4 linked regions of the Caenorhabditis elegans genome follow. The protein of the gene in region 2 interacts with the protein of the main gene of each other region in a pairwise test. Each region holds a gene or a part of one and is shown on either strand. Other genes may lie near its edges. The genes, in order: ZK792.4, pqn-54, brc-2 and Y39B6A.1.

Region 1 (6,072 bases), on a different chromosome or scaffold from region 2:
TTCAAAGAGTTCGGAGAGAAGTATCTCACAATGGACGGGAAAATTATTTTGAGTTTCGTCAAGGCTCAGAGTGATTTGGTTGCATCGGAAGTTGCCGTGGAGATGTACAACGACTTTTTGGTAAGTATTTCATTTCTCGATGTCAGTCCAACTCAGCTGAAGCCGGCTGTACCGTTCTAAATTGGACTGACTTCAAGTTCGAACTTTAGGACAATTTAAAGCATTTTTCCACGATTTTCAACTAAAACAAATACTACTCCAATCAATCGAAAATTTCAATTAATAAAATATAGATTGTCTTGATGTATTTTTACTTATCGTTTCCTAGAGGGAAAATGCGGGAGATGCGTGCCCCAGAAGCGCCATTTGAATAATTTCTACAATTTTAAATTTTTCAGGAGGTCAGAGATCAACGCATCTATATCATCTCCCACGAGTTCAACGATATTCAGAAAACCAGGAACTAATTTCTTTCATTTCCATATTTTTTTGTATTATGAAACTACTTACAAAGTAGTAATCTTCACTTTGTGTTTAAGTTTTTATTTCTGGGAAAATTATTTGATAATAAAACAAATTGCAACGAATATACAAAATGAGATCTGTAAATGTTTCTTAAGTAAATTTCACAAACGATACGAGCGTTACAATTTAAAAATTTGAAGAAAAGAAAAGGGTTAGAAAGAACTTGACGGTAAATAAAAACTGAAAGAAGTTATGAGAAGTTATACAGAAATCTTTAAAATCTCTTGATTTACTCTTCAAATTCAAGTTCATCAAGAACTCGATCAATATGTTCAACAGCTGAAAGACCGAGACCAGCCCATGTCTTATCATCAAGCACTTTGACATGAGTCTGAAGAAGATCCATTTCTGTTTGAGCACCAGTATCTCGGAGGGAATCAATGTCATCTTCAATGAATCGGAGGCGATGGCGAACGATTTCTGCCTCGCTTTTACTGAAATTGGAATTTTTTTGCATTCAGCCTCTTTGAAAACTTACATCGACTCAGCCACATCTCCATTACTCGAGTACCCCGAACTTAATTCACGTGGCGAGAATGCTCTTCTTTCAGCCGTCTCAAATCCGTTTGTATTACTTGAATAACTCGTGACACCTCCTGGACTAATTGGACCATTCGGATTTGGAGAAGCAAATTGTGATAGATCATGCATCGATTGTGACTTCTTCTTTGACTTGCTCTTTCTTCGCTTCCCTTGATAAGCTGCCACAAGTCTTTCCATTTCTCTGTGATGCCGGAGAGCTGCAATCGATTGAGGAGAGTGACCATTGGCATTGATCAACGCTGGATCCGCACCGTTTTCAAGCTAAATACAAGAAAGTGTATTACATATTTATTCACAATTACAATGCCGGCAATTTCGATAAATTCAGAAATTTATGAAAATACAAATGTTTCATAATTTTTAAAATTTGAAGCAAAAACATGAAGACTTGACTTATTAACTTCCGGAATACACATAGTTTTTGAGACTACCGATTTCAGAAATTTTTCGTTTTTGGAAAATCAAAAACCATCAAATGCTAATAATTTTCGATTGCCGCGTACCCCTAATTTCTTTTATAACACAAACCATATAAAGTGCTGCATCCAAATGATTATTCATTGCAGCCAAATGAAGTGGAGTATTTCCTCTTGTATCCCTCAATGTCATTACATAATGTCTCTTCTTTTTGCTGAATGCATTTAATAAATGAGAAAGAACAGGTACACTTCCGGAATCTGAAATTTGTTCATTTTTCTTTAAAATATCAGAAAGATGTACTCACATGCTGCACAGTGTATAGCATTTGCTCTATCATTAGTTGTCCATAAAATAGCATCAGATCCACTTCTATTTAAAATCCATCTTACAATATGTTCATGACCACAGAGACATGCAATATGAAGTAGAGATTGACCTCTATTACTCACTGATCCCATTTCACTTCTAGCCTTTTCAACTAGGAATCGAACAGTTCCAAGACATCCACCTTGCACAGCATATACACATGGAGTACACCCAAATTCATCTCTTGCATTTACCATTTGATTATCAAACTTGATTGCGGCACGAAGAAACTCAATATTTCCTTGTGCAGCTGCCACATGAACTGGTAGCATTTTGCAGTTATTATCGAGAAGTGCAAGTGCTTTTCCAAATTTTCTGAGCAACCAGATGCTCATGTCAGTGTCACCACGAGCAGTTGCGGCCATAAGAATGGATGTTCCGTTGACGTCACGGGTCATTGCACAATTCATTGTCGATTTTAGGGAGCCGCCAAGAAGAATTTCAAGTGCTCGCATATCTAGGAAAATTGTATTTCAAAATCAGTAATTTTATCTTTTTAGAAACAATTTTTAAGGTTTCATTGTGGATAACTATTAAATCAAATACGCCAGGGCTATTGAGATTTTAAATTTGTTTTATGGTAATTTCGGAATTTTTAGAACAGATTACTCAAAGGCTCGCGGATTTCACTCTTTTGTTCCCCATTGTTCTTTATTCAAAGCCAAATTTAAAAATTAAAAATTAAATATTTTCATCACAAACTTTTTGGCGAGAATTGTATGAATAAAACCTTTTGGTTTTTTTTTTCACTTGAAAATCTTCAAATTTGAGCTACATTCACATGGAAAGCTGCTGAAAATTTCTTCAATCTAAAGTTTTCTGTAATTTACACCCATAAATTGAGAAAAGCGCAAAAACTGGCTCGTCCAAAAAAAAGTTTTTTGAGGTCTTCATTATAAGATTAGAAGGCTCCCTTCCCAACATTTCCAACTCAGAATCCCCTTCTCAATACCTCCATGAGCAGCCGAGATGTGTGCTGCAGTTTCACCATTCGTCGACTGGATGTCCCTAAGCTCGGGAAGTCTGTCCAGTAAGTACCTGCAAAAAATCTCAATCTCTCGTCAATGACCTGATTTCTCTTTTTGTTTGCTCTTCCATCTCCCCTTCCAACGCATATCAATTCCGAGCTGATCTGCCGGAAGGGAAAAGCACTCAATTGCCCTCCTTCATCTGCATCTTTACACTCACTTCAAAATGTTCAAATTTCCAACCCGGGCTGCCATGTGAAGAGCATTTTGACCGATAGTGTCCTTGGCAAGCAGGTCATTGTTCGAAAATCTGGAATTTAAACATTTGAAAGTCTGTCGTTCAAACATACCGTATATTCTCTATTAGTGCTGTATCTCCAGTAGTACTGCAGTCTCTAATAGTGCTGCATTCAAAAAGGGTCCGAAAAATAGTGCTGCAGTCTCTATTAGTGCTGCACCCCATTTTCTATTGAAAGAGTTACTTGACAGTTTCGATATTTTTGGTTTTTTTTGTATATTTTTGATGATTTTTTGATAATAAGTAATTGAATTATTGGGTTTTTTTGTTACAAAAGTTCGCAATTTTTATGAATTTCTGCTTAAAAATGAGTTTTTGGGACTAAAAACTAGTGATCTATAATTGAAAATAGCCGTTCGAAAATTAATGCTGCAGTCTCCAGTAGTACTGCAGTCTCTAATAGTGCTGCATTAAAAAAGGGCCTGAAATTAGTGATGCATGCAGCACTAATAGAGAATATACGGTAACTTGGGTGCCGCTAAACCTAGGCTTGCCAAAATTTTGCCCAACATTTGCCTTAATACTTTTTAGGCCAAACTTGGGCAAGAAACTAGCGAGAAATGAAATAAATTTTGGCATCTTTAGAAGCTTCAATGACTGAGATCGTGGTGAGACCCACTCAGAAAATCGAGTCTTCAAACTGTCATAAAAGTTCAAAATTTTGTTTGAAATTTTTTTTTATAGTTCTGAAATCATATTTCTATAATGAACAAAAAGTTAAACGTGGAGCATGAGAGCAAAAGTAACTAAATTACATACCTCGCCAAACATTGCACATGCTTATTTGTAATTGACATAATTACATCTTCACACACATGATTCTCATCTAAAGAATTTTCCTCACCAATTACTTCTAATGGCAAATAGTCACCGTTACTGAAATACACATTTTTGTTAAACATATTTCATAAGTGTTCTTACTCTTCCAATGATCCATTGGGACCACTACGTTCTGATGACATTGAAACTTTGGAATTCTGAAATTAAAATGTGATTGATCATTAATGATTAAATAACCTGTCAATTGAAATGCGAGGAAACGTGAAAAGAGCGCGAAACGAATATTTGTTCGATCTTTTGTACTTGATGAGATTGGATTTCAATATTTCAAAGTCTATCTAGTCTTAAAAAATAAGATCAAAGAGCCAAACGGCAAGGCAGTGCCAAGTAAACTGTTTTTTTAATTCACACTCTCCGGGAAAATAAAATACAATAGAAAAAATAGAAATTTTTAAATTAAAAAAAAACATAAATCAGTGTTTTTTTAATATTTCTATTTACAATCTTACTTTACAATTTACTCCACAACTCAATTTACAAAAATTTACAAGTCGAAAATGGCTGTCACACATTGATATATCATAATTTTACATAAAAAACCTTTTATATTTTATTAATTTTTAAATTGTATGTAACAAACAGTAACAGTAGGGCTTCGAACATGCAAGCTTGCTAGAAATTTCTCAAAAAAAAATCTTTGAAAATTTAACAATTTGCAAAAACTTTGGCTGACAAGTTTGGAAAATTCTAAAGCATCTTCGATTGTTTCAATTAAATAAACTTTTAAACCACTGTTCTGTATTTTTAGCAAACTGCCAACTGACGCTACTTCACCATTAAACTTAAGATTTTCGCAGGTTGGATTATTTAAGACGACTCAAAATTGTGATTCTTTGTAATCAATAATCAGGCGGTAAGCAGAAAGTTGAAAAAGCGACAAATATTTCAGACTAAACAAGTAACTAGTCCTGTATTACTTGTAAAAGTACTACTTTCGACAAAAGTTTTGTATCAAGGACTCACTCTTGAATGTGCACAAACGAGCACAAAAAGTGAACGAATTGGAACGTGCACAGACAAAAAAATGAAAAAGTGGAATAGAAGAGTACTAAACCGAATTACTGTTTGAGAGGGAATGTGTCTCTGTTGACATGCGCGACACAAGAAAAGACTTACAAATATTGAGCAACTTCAAATAAACACAGTTTTGAGCACAAATCAGACGAAAATATATTTTTTTGAGGAAAATCAAGAACTTATTTATGGTAAATTTGAAATATACTTGACTTTAAAAATTGAACATTGATGTGAAATATCTATCTAAAAGACTTGTCAGAAAAAAATTTCTTTGAATATTGTTTGCACAGTTCTGAATTTTTTCCAAGTGTATTCTATCTGGAATGTACTCTAAGAATATATATATATATAAACTTTTCAGTCGACATATTTTTTCATACAACAAAAGAAACTCGAGATATCAGCGTTCAAACCTTAGAAGTGGTAGTTAACGATGCACCATGTATTGAAAATTTACCTTACATTAATAGCACATTTTATTTAGAAATGAGCAAAAAGTATTTCACAACCAAACTGTAGAAAAAAGAAATAATAAATATTTTTCAGTTGAAAACACACCTTTTAACACCTTCAAATAAATCTAAAATCTAAAAATAAGGATAATAATGCGTTCCTCAAGCCATATGCACTCCAGAACTGGAAGTAAGGGTGGTGCTCCTACTGGCCTTTAACTTAAGCTACGTCCGAGCCGAGGAACTGTGACCAAGGGTGAAAAAGATCAAGCTAAACTTTAACTATATTTCAGACTCGAATTGAAGAGTTTCACACATAATGGTCTATGGAAAAATATAAATTTTCGAGCAATCAGTTAAAATATCTCTATTCAGGTTTCCGTAGAAACTGTAAGTAATGAAGTGTAGAAGAAGCATGCACCTTCACCGAGAGGTAAGAGTGCGGCAAAAGTCAAAGTTAAGAGGGTGGATGTGTATGCTATTCTCTCCCTTACTTCATTTCTCTCTCCTTCCGTGATCCGACCGGTATTTCACCTTCCCCCGTTCTTCTTCGCGCCGTTGACAAATATTACCGTCCGCACACACATATCACTCGGCACAGAAAAAGAGTTGAAGCATTGCGCAACACCTTTCGAGATTTCAC
Region 2 (4,282 bases):
CAAAACTCAGGTTCTAAAAATCCACAAAACCCCGAAAATAAAGCCAAGTCAAAATGCAAATCGATAGATGAGAGAGAAAGAGGCACAGAGGTCTCTTCACTCACAAGATGCAATGCGTCTCACTCTCTATGTCTCTTATGGTCTCGTGTTCACATTAGACTTGGTTCTATGGTGACCGAGACATATCGATAGGAAACATTTTTTCGTAATATGCAACCATCATGTGTCATTTGAAAGTGTTTCATGAGGCTATGTCACTGCAAAATTTTAAGCGGCAAAGCTCTACTCTCAACCCCAAAAATTTCGATCTTAAATTGTTTCAGGCCAGTAGAATTGGTCCTGATTTTTTTTGTGCAAATTTTCAATGTTTTTTAGAACGGCTAGAAATAAGTTTACATTCTGGGAAATTTTTAAAAATTTTAAAAAATTTTTGAAAAAAAAATCTAAAAATTTCCTCAATCCACTCCACTCGGTTCAAAAATTTTTCAGATTTTTTGAAAAAATTTAAAAATTTTCAAAAATTTTCCAGAATGCTTACCTACTTTTAACCGTTTTGAAAAACATTGAAAGTTTGCAACAAAAAAAATTTGGAGCAATTCTACAGGCCTCCAAAGTAGTGAAGAAGTGCACTGTAACAGTTTCAGATCGATGCTAGAGGGGTTGAGAGTGGAGCTTTGCCGCTTAAAATTTTGTAGTAATATATCCTTATGGAACACTTTTAAATGGCACTTGTCTCGTTTTGAAGTCTGACATTAAAAAATAAAATAAAATAAAAACCTTTCCTTGAAAAGCGGCCATGTTATTTTTTAGTGCTAATCTAGTCAATAAACTGTGAGCCAGCTATAAGTTTTGTAGTCATTGTTCATTTTCTAGACAATAAAAAACCAAATAATGTAAATCAATTAAAATATCAAAGTTGTTTATTAAGTTCTTGTGAAACTAATTGGTTTCATTATATACAAAAACTTGAAGTCATTGTTCAGAGTCCGTTCACTTTCTTCTACAGCACTGTCCATTTCCGCATGGAGAGTAGTTAGCTTGGCAGGAGCACGAGTTTTGTGGGCTTTGTGGGCTCTGCTGGCAAGCCGTAGTCGCTGGCTGAGCGGCTTGGCAGGAGCTGGAGCACGAGTCCTGGCAGGCAGACTGGCACTGAGCGGCTGGTTGTTGTTGCTGAACGCATTGCTGCTGGCACGACTGCTCGCATTGTGGAGTACACTGGGAGGACTGGGCGACGGAGGATTGGAGAACGATTTGGATCACAGCTTGGGAAGATGCTGGGGCGGATGTGCTGGCATCGTATGGGTTGTACATTGGAGCTGGAGTCTGAGAAGTGCAGGAGTTGTCACAGGCTGGCTGGCAGGCTGGGGCGCAGTTGGCGGATCCGGAACCTTGGTTGTTGTTGTTGTATGGATTGTACATTTGGGTGTTGGTGTTAGAGTTCTGGTTGTAGACCTGTTGAGTGGCTTGAGCAGTTTGTTGGCAAATGTTGGAGCACTGGCTGTTACAAGCCGAATTGCACTGGTTAGCTGGCTGTTGTTGTTGGGTGCAGGATGATTGACACTGTTGCTGGCACTGTGGTTGGCATTGAGCTTGAGCCTGTTGGATCTCGAGTTGGATGTGGACTACTTGTGGTGCCTGAGTGGATGTGGCTGGAGCATCGCAGGCAACGTTGCACTGTTGCTGGCATTGTGGCTGGCATTGGGAAGCTGGTTGTTGTTGCTGAACACAGGTGGATTGGCACTGCTGTTGGCACATTGGCTGGCATTGGACGACTGGAGCTGGTGTGGTGGTGGCTGGTGGATTGTACATTGGAGCGCACTGGGATTGGCACTGCTGTTGGCATTGTGGCTGGCACTGGGCTACCGATGGTGCAGCCTGGCATTGTTGGGTGCAGCTCTGTTGGCAAGCTGGAGCACATTGAGTGGTTTGGACCTGAAAGTCTCTCTTTGGAGCTATAGCATAAGTTTGCTAGTAACCTGAACATTCTGGGTTTGTTGTGGTTGAGCGCAAGAGCATGATGGGGATTGTTGCTGAACTGGAGCAGATTGGCACGAGCACGATTGAGTCTGTTGAACCTGTTGGCACGAGCATTGGCTCTGCTGGGGTTGAGCACATCCGCATTGTCTCTTCTCACGAAGCACATTGCCCTGAAAATTAATATTCGTAGACTCAAATTTTTAGATCTTGCACAACTTACAGACACCACTAGGGCGCAGGCGAAGAAGGCAATGGCGAGGGAGGTGAAGCGCATGATTAGAGCCGAAAGTATCGGATGAGTATTTCCATTTGATTGTGGGCTTATATACCATCTCGCTTGAAACTATCCCAACCATCTTCCGCCTTCTCATGCCGCGCGGCAAACAATTTATCGCGTGAAAAAGTGTTCGGTAAGACGAGCAAAGATGAAAAAAAAAGAGACGGTGAGCAGTGCACTCGAGTGGCCTATTCAAATAATCTTTGATTGACAAGAGAAAAAATTCATGATGTATGTGCACCAACACTTTGTTGAACTTCCTGCCCGTTATCACAGAATATATAGAGGTTATCGCTAACATGGAAATCAGTAAGTGTGTCGCGGGCGATGGAAGTGCAGAGATTTCCAGTTTGATTCCTGTGACAATGACTTTTCAACAACCGAATAATCGACGAAACAGTGGCACCCTTTCGAAAACGAGCATATTTTTGTATTGTGCCTATATTTCGACATGCTTGGTGAGTGTAGAGGGAATTTAAAACTAGGAAGAAAAAAAAAGAAATTCGCATACTTTTATAAACTTCAAAATTGTTTTTTAGTTCAATGTGGAAAAACATGAACATTCAATTTTTCGATACTATTTACAGGAAGACAGGGCTTGGTCATTCTGTGTCTCTCTTTGTATGGACCTGATGGGTGGTATGAGAGTGGTTTCCATTGAGCAGCTTTTCGAGGGAGTCTTGCAAATGTTTCTCAGCGGATATTTAGGAAAGCATTTCGACGGGCTCTCGAGGAAACGGGGTACGGTAGACAACTAAACGATCCCGTGGTGTCAGCCTGCCTCATTGCGGTTCGATCTACGACAAATGGGAATATTTTACCAGAAAAATTGTGACGTCAGCACGCTCTTAACCATGCAAAATCAGATGAGATCTCTGCGTCTCTTCTCTCGCATTTTTCGAAGATCACAGCAAAATGGGACGTTCTGACTCCACGTGAACGATTCATTTTTACAAATTTCGATTACTGCAAAAATGATTTGTTCAAGTATCACATTGACCTAACAAAAACTACAATCAAATACTTATTTCGTGAGTATTTGTAAGAGAAAATCAAGTTTTCAATTTCAGCAATCATGACCGTCGTACCGTTGAACAATTTGAGTATTTGTGCTGCAGCTGCTCTTATTATCAGTGAGTTCTAATTTGACACTGATGTAGGTACTCGAAGCTAAAATATTTTAAGCTTGTCTGTCTATCGATGCCACGTCACCGTGGTACATAGTCTGCCTGGTTCTAGCAATGTGCATATGCGCGGTGAACCGGCTTTTCCTGAACGCGGAAAAGTTCATCACAGGCAGAGATTGGGTTATGGTACTCGGAAATGATGGTACACTGTCGAATATGAACGCAACTCTGTTGACATTGGATCAATGTACCAATGTTATTGCACCGTTAGTAACTGGTGTTAGTTCTGTGTTCGCTTTTTAATTCCAAAGTAAAAACAAACTAAGTTAAGGCTCTGGTGACCTGGGTTGGTCTTCGTGAAACAGTTGGAATATTTGGTATAGCCTCTCTTGTTTCAATGGCTTCAAAAACCATTTTCCTTAGAGCAATCTACATCTCCAATCCTCTGCTTCAAGTGAAGAAAGACAAGAAAGATGAAGCGCTAGACCCATTCGCCAATTCAAGGCTCAAAGAATCTGTGGTTTACACGTACTGGTGCCAGATCTCATTCCCAGCTGCATTTGGAATGAGTCTTCTATTCATGACAGTGATGGGATTTGATGGATTAGCTGTAGGATATGGCTCAAGTGTAGGGCTTCCGGAATTTGTTATCGGAGCATTCAGATCCTATGGATCCGTGACTGCGATCCTTGGAGCGTTTTCCTACGCATTCTTCGAAAAGCGATACAGTGTCGCCACTTCAGGACTACTGGGATTGGTTGTTCAGCAGTTTTTTGCGGTTCTAGCAGTTATATCCGTGTTCCTCCCGGGATCTCCTATGAACCTTGGTGGATACTTTGGAAACTTCACTATGGGAACTTGGTGGCACGATATGGTTCACTCTTTCGACGGGAATAACGCT
Region 3 (5,491 bases), on a different chromosome or scaffold from region 2:
AGACTACTGTATCGTCAAGCTTTCATTTCTGCGGAATCGTCACAACGATTTGAAATTACAGTACTCCTTTAAAGGCGCACACACCTGTCGCATTCAACCAAAATTGTCGTGTCGAGGCCGGTTACCGTATTTTGAAGCAAAAATCACAGCTTTAATACATAATCAATAAACTATAATATATTCCAGGATCTCAATTTGAATCCGAATGCCTTCGACGTGGACTTCGATGCAAAAATCGCCGTGGCTCGGGCTCATTGACATTGTATAATGTGCAGGAGGAAAATACAAAACGCGAATTTACAATTGCTCTGGCAGCTCTTGAAGACAAAGAATTGGCTGAAAAACTGAAAATCTCCGAACAAAATTGCAATAATAACAATCTTCTGACTGTTCCACCTTCCTTCCAACTTTAATCAATTCATAGAATTTATTTTCCAATTGATCCCCCCTTATCTCTCGATTTCCCAAACATTTTGGGTTTTAGAAATTGTCTTTATAAGACCACAACTTCAAAATGACGTGTGCCTACTTGTATTTGTACTTGTATATTTTCTTGTTTCGGGTTTCTATTTTTCTAAATTTTCGAATTTCTGATGAAGATTTCATCGTTTCATAATAATTCTTTAACATGGAAACAACAGAAGGGGAACATATAAAATTAGAACGGGGATATTCTTTGAGAATAAATTAAAGCATTTGAACCATCTACGTTAAAACGAATAAACACAACAAAAAAATGATAAAATAAATGAAACATGATTAAATGAATATTCACATGAATGGAATATTATGGATGCTTCTTTTTCGAACGGCGTTTCTTCTTGTCTTCCTGAAAAATTATGGAATTTTATTAAATTTTAGCTGATATAATTTTGAGACTTAATTAAAATTGTAAAATTAGCACACTTATCACTCTAACGTGACCGATAATCATAATGAAACACTACAAAATTCTTAGATTTCTCAAATTTCAAGTCAAAGTTTTTTTTTGTAAATTGCAACCTTTTCAAAAATGTGAAATTTTTGGGTGATTTAGGGATTTTTGGCGAATTTTTTTGATTTATCAGATTCGAGAAAAAAATTTAACGCAATTGAGATATAAGAAAATGAAGAAAATGTCTGAAATTCTGGCCGACTTCTAAAATTATGATATGTGAAACAAAAAATGTTCTCTGTAATTTTTCGGTATCAATAAATTATACTTTATGTTTCAAGTAAGAGCCAAAATCTTTCCAGTCGACTTCTGCCACGTCAGTGCATTCCCATTCATCATTCGATTTTTCGATTTCAACCATAACAGGGCGGAACACATAGTTTTGTCTGAAAAAATGCAACGGAATTTAAAAAATTATAAATTGAAAGTTAAAACGCCGCAAAAATCTCACCGTTCCTGGGGGTCTTTGAATCGGAACCAATTGTCAAATCCTTCATATCCTAACAAATCGAGTAATTTCTTCATATTTTTTGTAGTCACATTGATAAACATTTGACCGGAGAAGTCCATAACTCGCACCTGAAGTTTTTTTGTAACGATACTTCCCAAAAACTAAAATTCAAAAAATTATCTAAATTCAGCTAAAATCTCAAACTTTGTCAACTTGACAATGTCACAACTCGCAGAAGTGAGTTCCGACCGCCGCACCACTGACAAGTCGGAAAAATTTGAGATTTTAGCTGAAAATAGGCTATTTATCCAAAACATTAAAAATGTTCTATATTAGGAAATAGGCAATATAAATATAAAGAACATACTCTAGAATACATCGACAATTCAGATTTTCCTTGGGAATCCTTACAAAACTCGCATTGATTCGCTGCTTCTGGGAGAGAGTGTTTGCATTTCGAACATCTGAAACCAATATTATTATATTAATTATCAAGGAATCAGTATGTACCCTGCATAAAAATCCAAATTTAAATCGAGTAAGTTAACTTGGACAACTGTTTTTTTGATTTTCGTGTCTGACAATTCGTGGATAACTGAAATAATAATTTTTTTAGGTGAAAACTCGAAATGGCTCACATCTGGGTTTGATGCAAAACGGCTTCTTGGCAATTGAATGGCGTCGGATACCGGATTTCGCACCATTTTCCTTATTTTTCAGAACTCTATCAATATAGATTTCTGTAACATCGCCTGAGCTTGCTGAAAGTTTACGAAAAATTAAATCAATAGCTACAATCGATTGAGCATTACATTTTTTACAGACTTCCGCGTCGACATGAATTCTGTCGCCAAATTTAATATCAGAGCCACGATTGTAGCTACAAGTGGCCAGGATTAGAGGAGTTGAGCTGGATTCTTGAAGAATAATTCGGAATTTATCCTTTTCGTAGATTCGAGAAACACGCAAAACATCGGCGTGGATTTCTGAAAAAAGACTCCGGATTACGAGAATTACGGAATAAAGAACAGTTTTCAAAAAGGAGAGCCAATTCTAGAGCTTAACTAACCTTTAAACTCCTTCTTCTTTTCTTTTTTCGAATGTTTTTTACTTTTTTTAGAAGAACTGCTGGTTGATTTTTTTGCTGGTGGAGCTTCGAAATCTTCGAAACCGCCGCTAGCCGGCCGTTTTGTAGTTGTTGAGCTCGTTCTGAAAAGAAAAACTTCGAGCTAGATAGCACCTTTGAAACTTACCCTTCTCTTCGAAACGGTGAAACGAAAGCGCTCGACCCATTGTTTTTGCGCACGAGAGGGGAAGAAAATCCGCCTTTAGACGAGGATTTGCTCTTGAGATCACTCTGAATTTGAAATTTTTTATATTAGAAGAATAAATGTGTTGTCGAAGTTAATTTCAGAATATGTTCCATTATTTCCTTTTAATTCCAAAGCTTACATTCAACATCTTCTTTGATTTATCAATCGATTCCTGCTTCACATCAATTCGGATACCAGCCGCTGTTGAAAAAACCGGTTCCATTGATATCGGTACGCCTTTCGGCTCATCAAAGCTGTCTGGTTCAGATATTGTGTCGAAACTGTCTTTTCTGAAAACAAAGAATTGCAATTCATGTATGTTTCTCAATTTTCTTGCTATAACAATAAAATAAATCTTGACTAACACTTTTTTAGATGAGTCACCCATCGGTCGATGTCACAATATTCTGGTAAAGTCTGAAAATTTCATTTTGAGTTCAGAAATTTGAGATTTCAATTGAAAAAAAGGGAAAAAATTAAATTTTTGTTTTTCAAATAAACTGAGAATTTTACTGTCCGGTGGAGCGTAATTGCATTATTTCCTTTTTGAGAAAAAAATTGCGACACTAATTTATTTATTTCCGCCTTTTCTTCTAATTTCGTAATGCAAAATCAATTATCTCACAAATTATAACACGAACCGTTTCTGCCGTTTAAAACTGTGGAAATAATTATATTTATGTGCGGTTTTCATTCATAAAACGAGGGGAAACCCCCAATTGACCTTTCCTCTCTGAATAAAAAAGCAAAGCAAATATTAAATCCGTGTATTTTTTGCGTCATTCTTTTCTATCTCTTACTCTTTTTGCCCCCGCAGTAATAAAGATCTAGAGAAATAGAGAAGAAAAGGAGAAAGTGAGGAAAAAAAATACATGCTCGCAGAGTTCGAAGCTTTGGTCTAACTAGTTGAGATTTCTTCCCAGCTTGATGTTTTTCCGGGTCGCTTTTTCCTTTCATCTCTTAAATTTTCATTTTCCATTTCTTGGGTATTTTCTTTTGATAATCAAATTAAAGAAAAAGCACTCGATTTTAGGTGCAATCATTCAAAAAATTCTTTTGATAAAATAATCACCTTATCACCATTTTAATGTCATTCCCGCCATGAAAACCTGATTTTACAGTCTAAACCTTTCCTATTTTCTCATGATGACGCTCTGATTTTTTTTAATTTCTCGACATAAATTTAATTTCAGCCAAACTTCAAAATGGCTCCATTGCCACGTGTGAAATGTTATTTCGATGTGGTCTGTCCCAATTCATGGATCACTATTCAGGTACATTTGTAATCTAGAAAAACTTGTTTTGATACAATTTAAACTGAAAGATTTTGTTTTTCCGGGTTTTCATTTCCATTGCCCTTCAGAATCATGTGCTTCACGTGAAATAGAAATGGGTCGCATGTGAAAAATAGATAGATCTCAGCCCTTTTTGAATGTTTTATTATTCCCGAAAATAAAAAAAGATGGAAAGAAAATCAAATATAATTTTCAGGCTCTTACATCACACAATTCTCTATTCGAGCGTATAGATTTTGAGCCAGTTTGTGATTTTAAAATTGGAATTCTTCATAATGCTCAAATCTGGAACCAACGTCGACAAGTACACAATTCGAGACTTTGGAAAACGAAAATAGGTAAGTAGTTTGAAAATATATAGAAATCCAAATAATCGCGGGAAAGTTATTTCAGAAGTTCCAGAGCAAGCAGAAAGCGAAGAAACACTCTCAGAAATGGGAATTCTACAAAAAATCGACGAGCGTGGCAAGAAACTTATTGGTTGTGAGCGTGTCGTGCCACCTGTAGATTGGAAAAACGTTAGATTGATTTCGAATATTTATTCTCAAACAAATATTTTTAGACCTACAAAACAGCGGTAGCACGTGGATCGGTCATCCCTCAGCTGTTCCTCACTTCAATCCGTGAACAATACCCAGACCTCTATGAAAAAGCAATTCATCACTTGGGAAAACGGCTCTGGGAGCAGCGACTTCCAGTTCACTACGGGTGTCACATGTCTACAGTATGCCGTGAACTTGGAATCTCATTCAAAATCGCAGAAGACATTGTGGCTCGTCTCTCATCTCCAGAAAATCGATCGATACTACACAAAAATTGCAAAGAAGCCGTGGATTTCAAAGTAAATTTTAATTTTCTAGAAATAAAATCAAGAATTTCCTTTTTCAGCTTACTGAAGCACCCGGATTAATCTTGTTAACTGATGAAGGAGACACTATAAAAGTTGATAAAATCAATGATATTTTTGATGATAATATCATGATTTCCAAGCTCTCAAGTGTATCATCAAGCCAACCAGTCGAGCAAAAAATGTCTGCAAATCGACTTTAAATTTAGTTTTTTTGTTTCCAATTCTTCCTTCCTCACCCACCTTTTTCTTCATATTTACCCACTTTTATTGCACTTTACTCGCATCAGTTTAGTCTTTTTTTTTCCCAAATCCTGTACCCTCTACGGTGATTATAATCAATTCGATCAAATTCATTGTGTTATCCTCCGGTTCAATTTATTCCACCCATCTCCAATTTAGTATATTTCCTTTCTCTGTTACCAAATGATTGCATAAATAGACATATTTTTCTTCTTACCGCTAAGACCACATAAGAGGAAGAAAAGAAGTTCACCAATCACGAACACTTTCTGAAAACCGAGTGATACATCCACATTTTTAAAGATTTCTATTGACGATAGAACATGATAAAGTTGCAGTTAATGAGCGAACAATGACAGTGAATAAAATAATTACGTTGAAAATTTTTAATTTTGGAATTGAAACGGA
Region 4 (5,495 bases), about 18 Mb from region 2:
CCCGTTCTAAACCGGAATTTTCAGTCGAAATCGCGTATTCAGCTCGACCAATCGGTGTAATTTGTGCAAACACCGTCACGCGCAAATGCAGACATTTTTGCACGCGGAATTCTCATTAAAATGCAATTCTCATTAATTTGTCAGCGAAAAGCAATAAAACCTCAACCACCAGATGCAGTTTTTGATTTATTCACGTCTTTTTCTTCTCGTTGCCACGATTCGGGTAACCGTTCCCGGAAACTTTGTCACGTGGGGCCACTCTATATTCTCGGAGCAATCGTAAAACTACATCAAAATTTGATAAGGAAGAGGAAAAACGAGTGGCAGCGGCAGAATGACCGATAATCAATTATGGAGAGAGAAAAACCTGCTGATGGCACATTTTTCGAATAGTTTTGCGGTTTTTGGTTTCGGAACGTGGGGCGGAAATTGCTCCCGAATGCTGAAAATGTACAGGAACTGGAAAAAAGTCAAGGATCTTAAAAATTAGGCTGCCTGTATGAATTCCACGACAGTATGCTGTGAAATGCTTGAAATTTCAAGTCAAAGGCCCAAAAAATATCAAAGTTTCAGGAAAATTGAGGAAACATCGATTTTCGATGTTTTTCCGGAAAAACTATCCAGATTTGAAGCTTTTTCTCCTAATTTTCCCGGTTTTTTTTGAGAAAAAGTCAAAAACTCGAATTTTGAAGCCAGAAGATTGTCAGGAAACGGAAATTTCTGACAAAATTGCTCAAACTCCTGAATTTTCCACCGGAAACCTTCAAAAAGTGTAGTTGGTACTTCAAAAACCAGTTCAATTGCAGCAAATTAAGAACATTATAGAGATAAGGAGTATTAATTGTTGGTGCAAATAATGAATTATAACCACCATTGCAAGATTGAATGATCACATGATATTTGGAAAACTAGAAAACTAGTATTTCGAATTTCCAACAAAAAAAAGGTGTTAAGAGCACCATTAAAAGTTTGCCATCATCTTTGGAAATGCCACAGGCTCATAAAATAGCAGTTTTGGGTGTGGCTCTTCAGAAAACACAGTTTGGAGTTTTTAGGGGCAGTTGGGAAAGGTCGGCGGGTGCTGAAAGCTCCGAAAGCCCAATCAGAGCTGCTGAATTTGGTTAAAATCTGGAAAACCAGGAATCTAACACCTTGAAGCAACCCAGTGCTGCTCAGAGCTCTTGAGGGCAGCTAAAGCCAGTTGGGAGCTTCTAGAGGCCCATAGAAGCTTATCGGACCAATAGGGAGCTGCTAGAAGCCGTGCTCGTCGGAGCTGCTAAAATCTGCTAGGAGCCACTGGGAACTCACAAAGGACTTGAGGCCTATTAGAATAGTACAGGGCTCAGTAGAAGCAAATTAAATCCTTTAGAAAGCTTGCTTGAACTCCTAGGTCAGGCTGGAAGCTTCTAGAGACATTTATGAGCTGTTGGAGGCAATTGGAAGATTTCAGCAGTCGGGCTTTTCGGAATCACTAAGAGCTCGTGAAGGCACTTTAGATCTGCTAGACGATCACAAGGCTTACTAAAAGCAAATTGAAGCCTTCAGAAAGCTTGCTGGGCGCCTAGGCCAGGCTTTGAACTCCTAGGTCAGGCTGGTAGCTTCTAGAAGTACTTGGAAGGGTCTAGGACTAGTTGGAAGCCGCTAGAAATGTCTATGATCTAACTGAAACAATTAGAAAATTTTAGCAATCAGGCTGCTCGGAGCCACTTGAAGCTTATTGGAAGCAGTTAAACGTTCCAGAAAAGGTCAGTGTCCAAAGGTCAGGCTCTTTTTCGGTATGCTAGAACCTACCGAGACCCGAAAAATCACAAAAACCTCCAACTTCTCACACAAAACCCTTCAGTGAACTACTATAATACAATCAGCTGAAAATTTGAAAATTTTGAAAATTAATCAAATGCTGATGCTCAACAGCTGTCAGACTTCATCACCTCTCCTATTACCTCCCCAAATATTACATCACTCTGACAATCATCGTCCCAAATTTTCACGTTTCTCCTTCTCCGGGTGTCTTATCTCGATCTCTCACTTCTCCAAACATCATCAAAACTTTTAATTGCCTCCCGTGTCAAAATGGGCGGAGTCAAACTTAAGGGAGGCGGAGCCTAAAAAAAGCTTATAAAATGGGGCGGAGGAGGACGGTGATTATCAAAATTTTCGGGGCTTTTTCTCGATTTTACTTCTAAAATCCCTCTTAACTTTGAATTTCGAGTAAAATTCTGAAAATTCTGAAAATTCCAGAACCTAAACAATGACGGTGCACCATCATCATCACACCCACCACGTGTCGCTTCACAAGATCAGTGAGTTTTCGGCGCTTCCTGCCAAAGATCATTCTTATCAGTGAAATTACCGAAAAAATTAGAAAATTTCGGAAATGTTTGCCAACACAACACAACTGACATGTTATCAGTTGTAGTTTCTTAGTATCACCTACGGTAGTCAAAGATCATGATAATTTTCAGAGAAGCTCTTCTCGAAGCACTCCTCGCACGGGCATAAGCTCACTCGGGATGAAGCTCGCTCGGCGCTCCACGATATTGAGCACCTGGCCAAGGAGCTCCACTTCCAGAAGGTCTTTGATCATCATGCTCATGATGGACACATCTCATTGAAAGGTTGGTCCGGAGCTTTGGAATCTCTTAATAAACAGGAATATTTCAGGATTCCTGAGCTTCATCTCCCCACACCACGGTCACCATACCCATCATGCTCACGGAGCCCATCCAGGCCACCACGAGGTCCACCACCACCATCACCATGTGAAGGCTCAGGACTCGAGCAGCTCCAGCTCCTCCTCCAGCAGCAGCTCGAGCTCCAGCTCCTCCAGCTCATCCTCATCCTCTTCCTCTTCGTCTGAATCCGAGGACGAGAAGCACCACCACAAGAAGCACGCCAAGAAGCATCTTAAGAAGCATCACAAGAAGGCCGAGTCTAGCTCTTCCAGCTCATCCAGCTCCTCGAGCTCCAGCTCAAGCTCCTCTTCCAGCTCCTCATCTGAGTCCGAAGACGAGAAGCATCACCATAAGAAGCATGCCAAGAAGCATCTGAAGAAGCATCACAAGAAGGCTGAGAGCTCTTCCAGCAGCTCATCGTCAAGCTCCTCTAGCTCCAGCTCCTCCAGCTCGTCTTCTTCGTCGTCGGAGTCCGAAGACGAGAAGCATCACCACAAGAAGCATGCCGTGAAGAAGCATCACAAGAAGGCCGAGTCTAGCTCGTCCAGCAGCTCGAGCTCGAGCTCCTCCAGCTCCTCTTCCTCATCCGAGGATGAGAAGCACCATCACAAGAAGCACGCCGCCAAGAAGCACGTGAAGCATCACAAGAAGGCCGCTTCCAGCTCCAGCTCTTCCAGCAGCTCCTCTTCCTCTTCCAGTTCTTCTTCATCGTCTTCTTCCTCGGAATCTGAAGACGAGAAGAAGAAGAAGAAGGTGCATCACAAGAAGAGCCACGGAAAGAAGCATCACAAGAAGGCCGCGAGCTCTTCTAGCTCTAGCTCTTCCTCCAGCTCCAGCTCCAGCTCCTCATCTTCCTCAGAATCTGAGGACGAGAAGAAGCACGCTCCAGCCCATCATGAGCACCACGAGCACAAGGATGGAGCTCATCACGAGCACAAGGAAGGAGAGCACCATGAGCACGCAGCTCATCACGACGAGCACGGAGTCCACCACAGACATCATGGAGAGCACCATGGGACCCACCACTCCCCAGCTCATCACGGGGAACATGGGACCCACCACGGACACCATGGAGAGCACCACCATGCTCCAGCTCATCATGGACACCACGAATCCCATGGACACGGACATCACTCCCCAGCCCACCACGGACATCATGGGGAGCACCACCATGCTCCAGCTCATCACGGACATCATGGAGAGCACCACCATGCTCCAGCACACCATGGACACCACGGGGAACATGGGACCCACCACGGACACCACGGATCCCATCACTCCCCAGCTCACCACGGACATCATGGGGAGCACCACCATGCTCCAGCACACCACGGACACCACGGGGAACATGGGACCCACCACGGACATCATGGAGAGCACCACCATGCTCCAGCACACCATGGACACCACGGGGAACATGGGACCCACCACGGACACCACGGATCCCATCACTCCCCAGCTCACCACGGACATCATGGGGAGCACCACCATGCTCCAGCTCATCACGGACACCACGGACACCACGGATCTCACGGAGTTCATCACGGACACCACGAATCCCATGGGCATGGTCACCACGCACCGGCTCACCACGGACACCATGGGGAGCATGGAGTTCATCACGGACATCATGGAGCAGGCTACGGAGCTCACCATGGACACCACGGAGCCCACCACCACCACGCCCCACACCATGAGCATCACGAACACCATGGAGATCATCACCACGGATCTCACGGAGTCCATCACGGACACCACGGAACCCACCACTCCCTAGCACATCACGGACATCACGGAGGTCATGGGACCCACCACGGAGCCCATCACTCCCCGGCTCACCACGGACACCACGGAGCCCACCACGAGCACGGAGCCCATCACGGAGCCCACCACGGACACCATGACGACAAGGAGAACCACCACCATCATGGACACCATTCGAAGCATTCAAAGAAGCAGCACACGAAGAAGTCACATAAGAAGAGCCACTAGACGGGCGGTCGATGAGCTTCTGCTCGCCACAATTGATGCGTCACTGCATTACATGTACTTTTTGGATAAATCCTGAACAGCCTTTTTTTTTTGTTTGTATCGATTTTTCTAGCGAATTTGTAATTTTTTGTACCAATTTTTCCGTGTCGAATAAATTAATTTCATTGTGTTTAGTGGAGAAAAACGAAGAAAAAAAACATGAAAAATTGCGATAGCAGCGCCCAAATCTTGTAGTTTGTAGTTTTAGCAGCGCCCAAACTCACTTTTTCTTCATTTTTCCAATTTTTTGCCGAAAAAACAGTCGAAAACTAGGTTTTTTATACGAAAAATCGCATAGCAGCGCCCAAAACTTGTAGTTTGTAGTCTTAGCAGCGCCCAAAATTGAATTAGCAGCGCCCAAAACTTGTAGTTTGTAGTTTAGCAGCGCCCAAAATTGAATTAGCAGCGCCCAAAATTGAATTAGCAGCGCCCAAAATCTTGTAGTTTGTAGTGTTAGCAGCGCCCAAAATCTTGTAGTTTGTAGTTTAGCAGCGCCCAAAATCTTGTAGTTTGTAGTCTAAGCAGCGCCCAAAACTTGTAGTTTGTAGTCTTAGCAGCGCCCAAAACTCGTAGTTTGTAGTCTAAGCAGCGCCCAAAATTGAATTAGCAGCGCCCAAAATCTTGTAGTTTGTAGTGTTAGCAGCGCCCAAAATCTTGTAGTTTGTAGTCTAAGCAGCGCCCAAAATTGAATAAGCAGCGCCTAAATCTTGTAGTTTGTAGTCTAAGCAGCGCCCAAAACTCGTAGTTTGTAGTCTAAGCAGCGCCCAAAATCATGTAGTTTGTAGTCTT

The links.
Region 1: the proteins of pqn-54 (region 2) and ZK792.4 interact in a two-hybrid assay, tested with the Caenorhabditis elegans proteins (one large-scale study listed by BioGRID).
Region 3: the proteins of pqn-54 (region 2) and brc-2 interact in a two-hybrid assay, tested with the Caenorhabditis elegans proteins (one large-scale study listed by BioGRID).
Region 4: the proteins of pqn-54 (region 2) and Y39B6A.1 interact in a two-hybrid assay, tested with the Caenorhabditis elegans proteins (one large-scale study listed by BioGRID).

The regions. Positions count from the first base shown.
Region 1 is NC_003282.8:11,677,909-11,683,980, forward strand, and holds ZK792.4 (ANK_REP_REGION domain-containing protein), read right to left. Parts: upstream 4,098-6,072; 5' UTR 4,083-4,097; coding exon 4,042-4,082; intron 3,997-4,041; coding exon 3,880-3,996; intron 3,713-3,879; exon of another isoform or gene 3,563-3,712; intron 3,133-3,562; coding exon 3,043-3,132; intron 3,027-3,042; exon of another isoform or gene 2,893-3,026; coding exon 2,807-2,892; intron 2,312-2,806; coding exon 1,793-2,311; intron 1,746-1,792; coding exon 1,597-1,745; intron 1,330-1,596; coding exon 1,004-1,329; intron 960-1,003; coding exon 755-959; 3' UTR 528-754; downstream 1-527. Other genes in the region: inx-9 (Innexin), read left to right, coding at 1-120, 399-467.
Region 2 is NC_003283.11:1,462,983-1,467,264, reverse strand, and holds pqn-54 (Prion-like-(Q/N-rich)-domain-bearing protein), read right to left. Parts: upstream 2,276-4,282; 5' UTR 2,252-2,275; coding exon 2,198-2,251; intron 2,148-2,197; coding exon 1,977-2,147; intron 1,933-1,976; coding exon 991-1,932; 3' UTR 905-990; downstream 1-904. Other genes in the region: fpn-1.2 (Solute carrier family 40 member), read left to right, coding at 2,620-2,712, 2,842-2,995, 3,325-3,387, 3,440-3,660, 3,713-4,282.
Region 3 is NC_003281.10:6,899,992-6,905,482, forward strand, and holds brc-2 (DNA repair protein brc-2), read right to left. Parts: upstream 3,116-5,491; 5' UTR 3,087-3,115; coding exon 3,064-3,086; intron 2,989-3,063; coding exon 2,838-2,988; intron 2,743-2,837; coding exon 2,639-2,742; intron 2,595-2,638; coding exon 2,455-2,594; intron 2,372-2,454; coding exon 2,198-2,371; intron 2,147-2,197; coding exon 2,024-2,146; intron 1,981-2,023; coding exon 1,896-1,980; intron 1,850-1,895; coding exon 1,753-1,849; intron 1,514-1,752; coding exon 1,386-1,513; intron 1,321-1,385; coding exon 1,203-1,320; intron 830-1,202; coding exon 788-829; 3' UTR 577-787; downstream 1-576. Other genes in the region: T07E3.4 (F-box domain-containing protein), read left to right, coding at 187-413; T07E3.3 (DSBA-like thioredoxin domain-containing protein), read left to right, coding at 3,904-3,972, 4,190-4,331, 4,387-4,511, 4,556-4,834, 4,882-5,043. UniProt on the Caenorhabditis elegans protein: Required for the homologous recombination repair of DNA double strand breaks, thereby playing a role in chromosome integrity. Acts by targeting rad-51 to sites of DNA damage and stabilizing rad-51-DNA filaments by blocking ATP hydrolysis catalyzed by rad-51.
Region 4 is NC_003283.11:19,200,354-19,205,848, reverse strand, and holds Y39B6A.1 (Histidine-rich glycoprotein-like), read left to right. Parts: upstream 1-2,241; 5' UTR 2,242-2,251; coding exon 2,252-2,303; intron 2,304-2,465; coding exon 2,466-2,618; intron 2,619-2,664; coding exon 2,665-4,667; 3' UTR 4,668-4,836; downstream 4,837-5,495.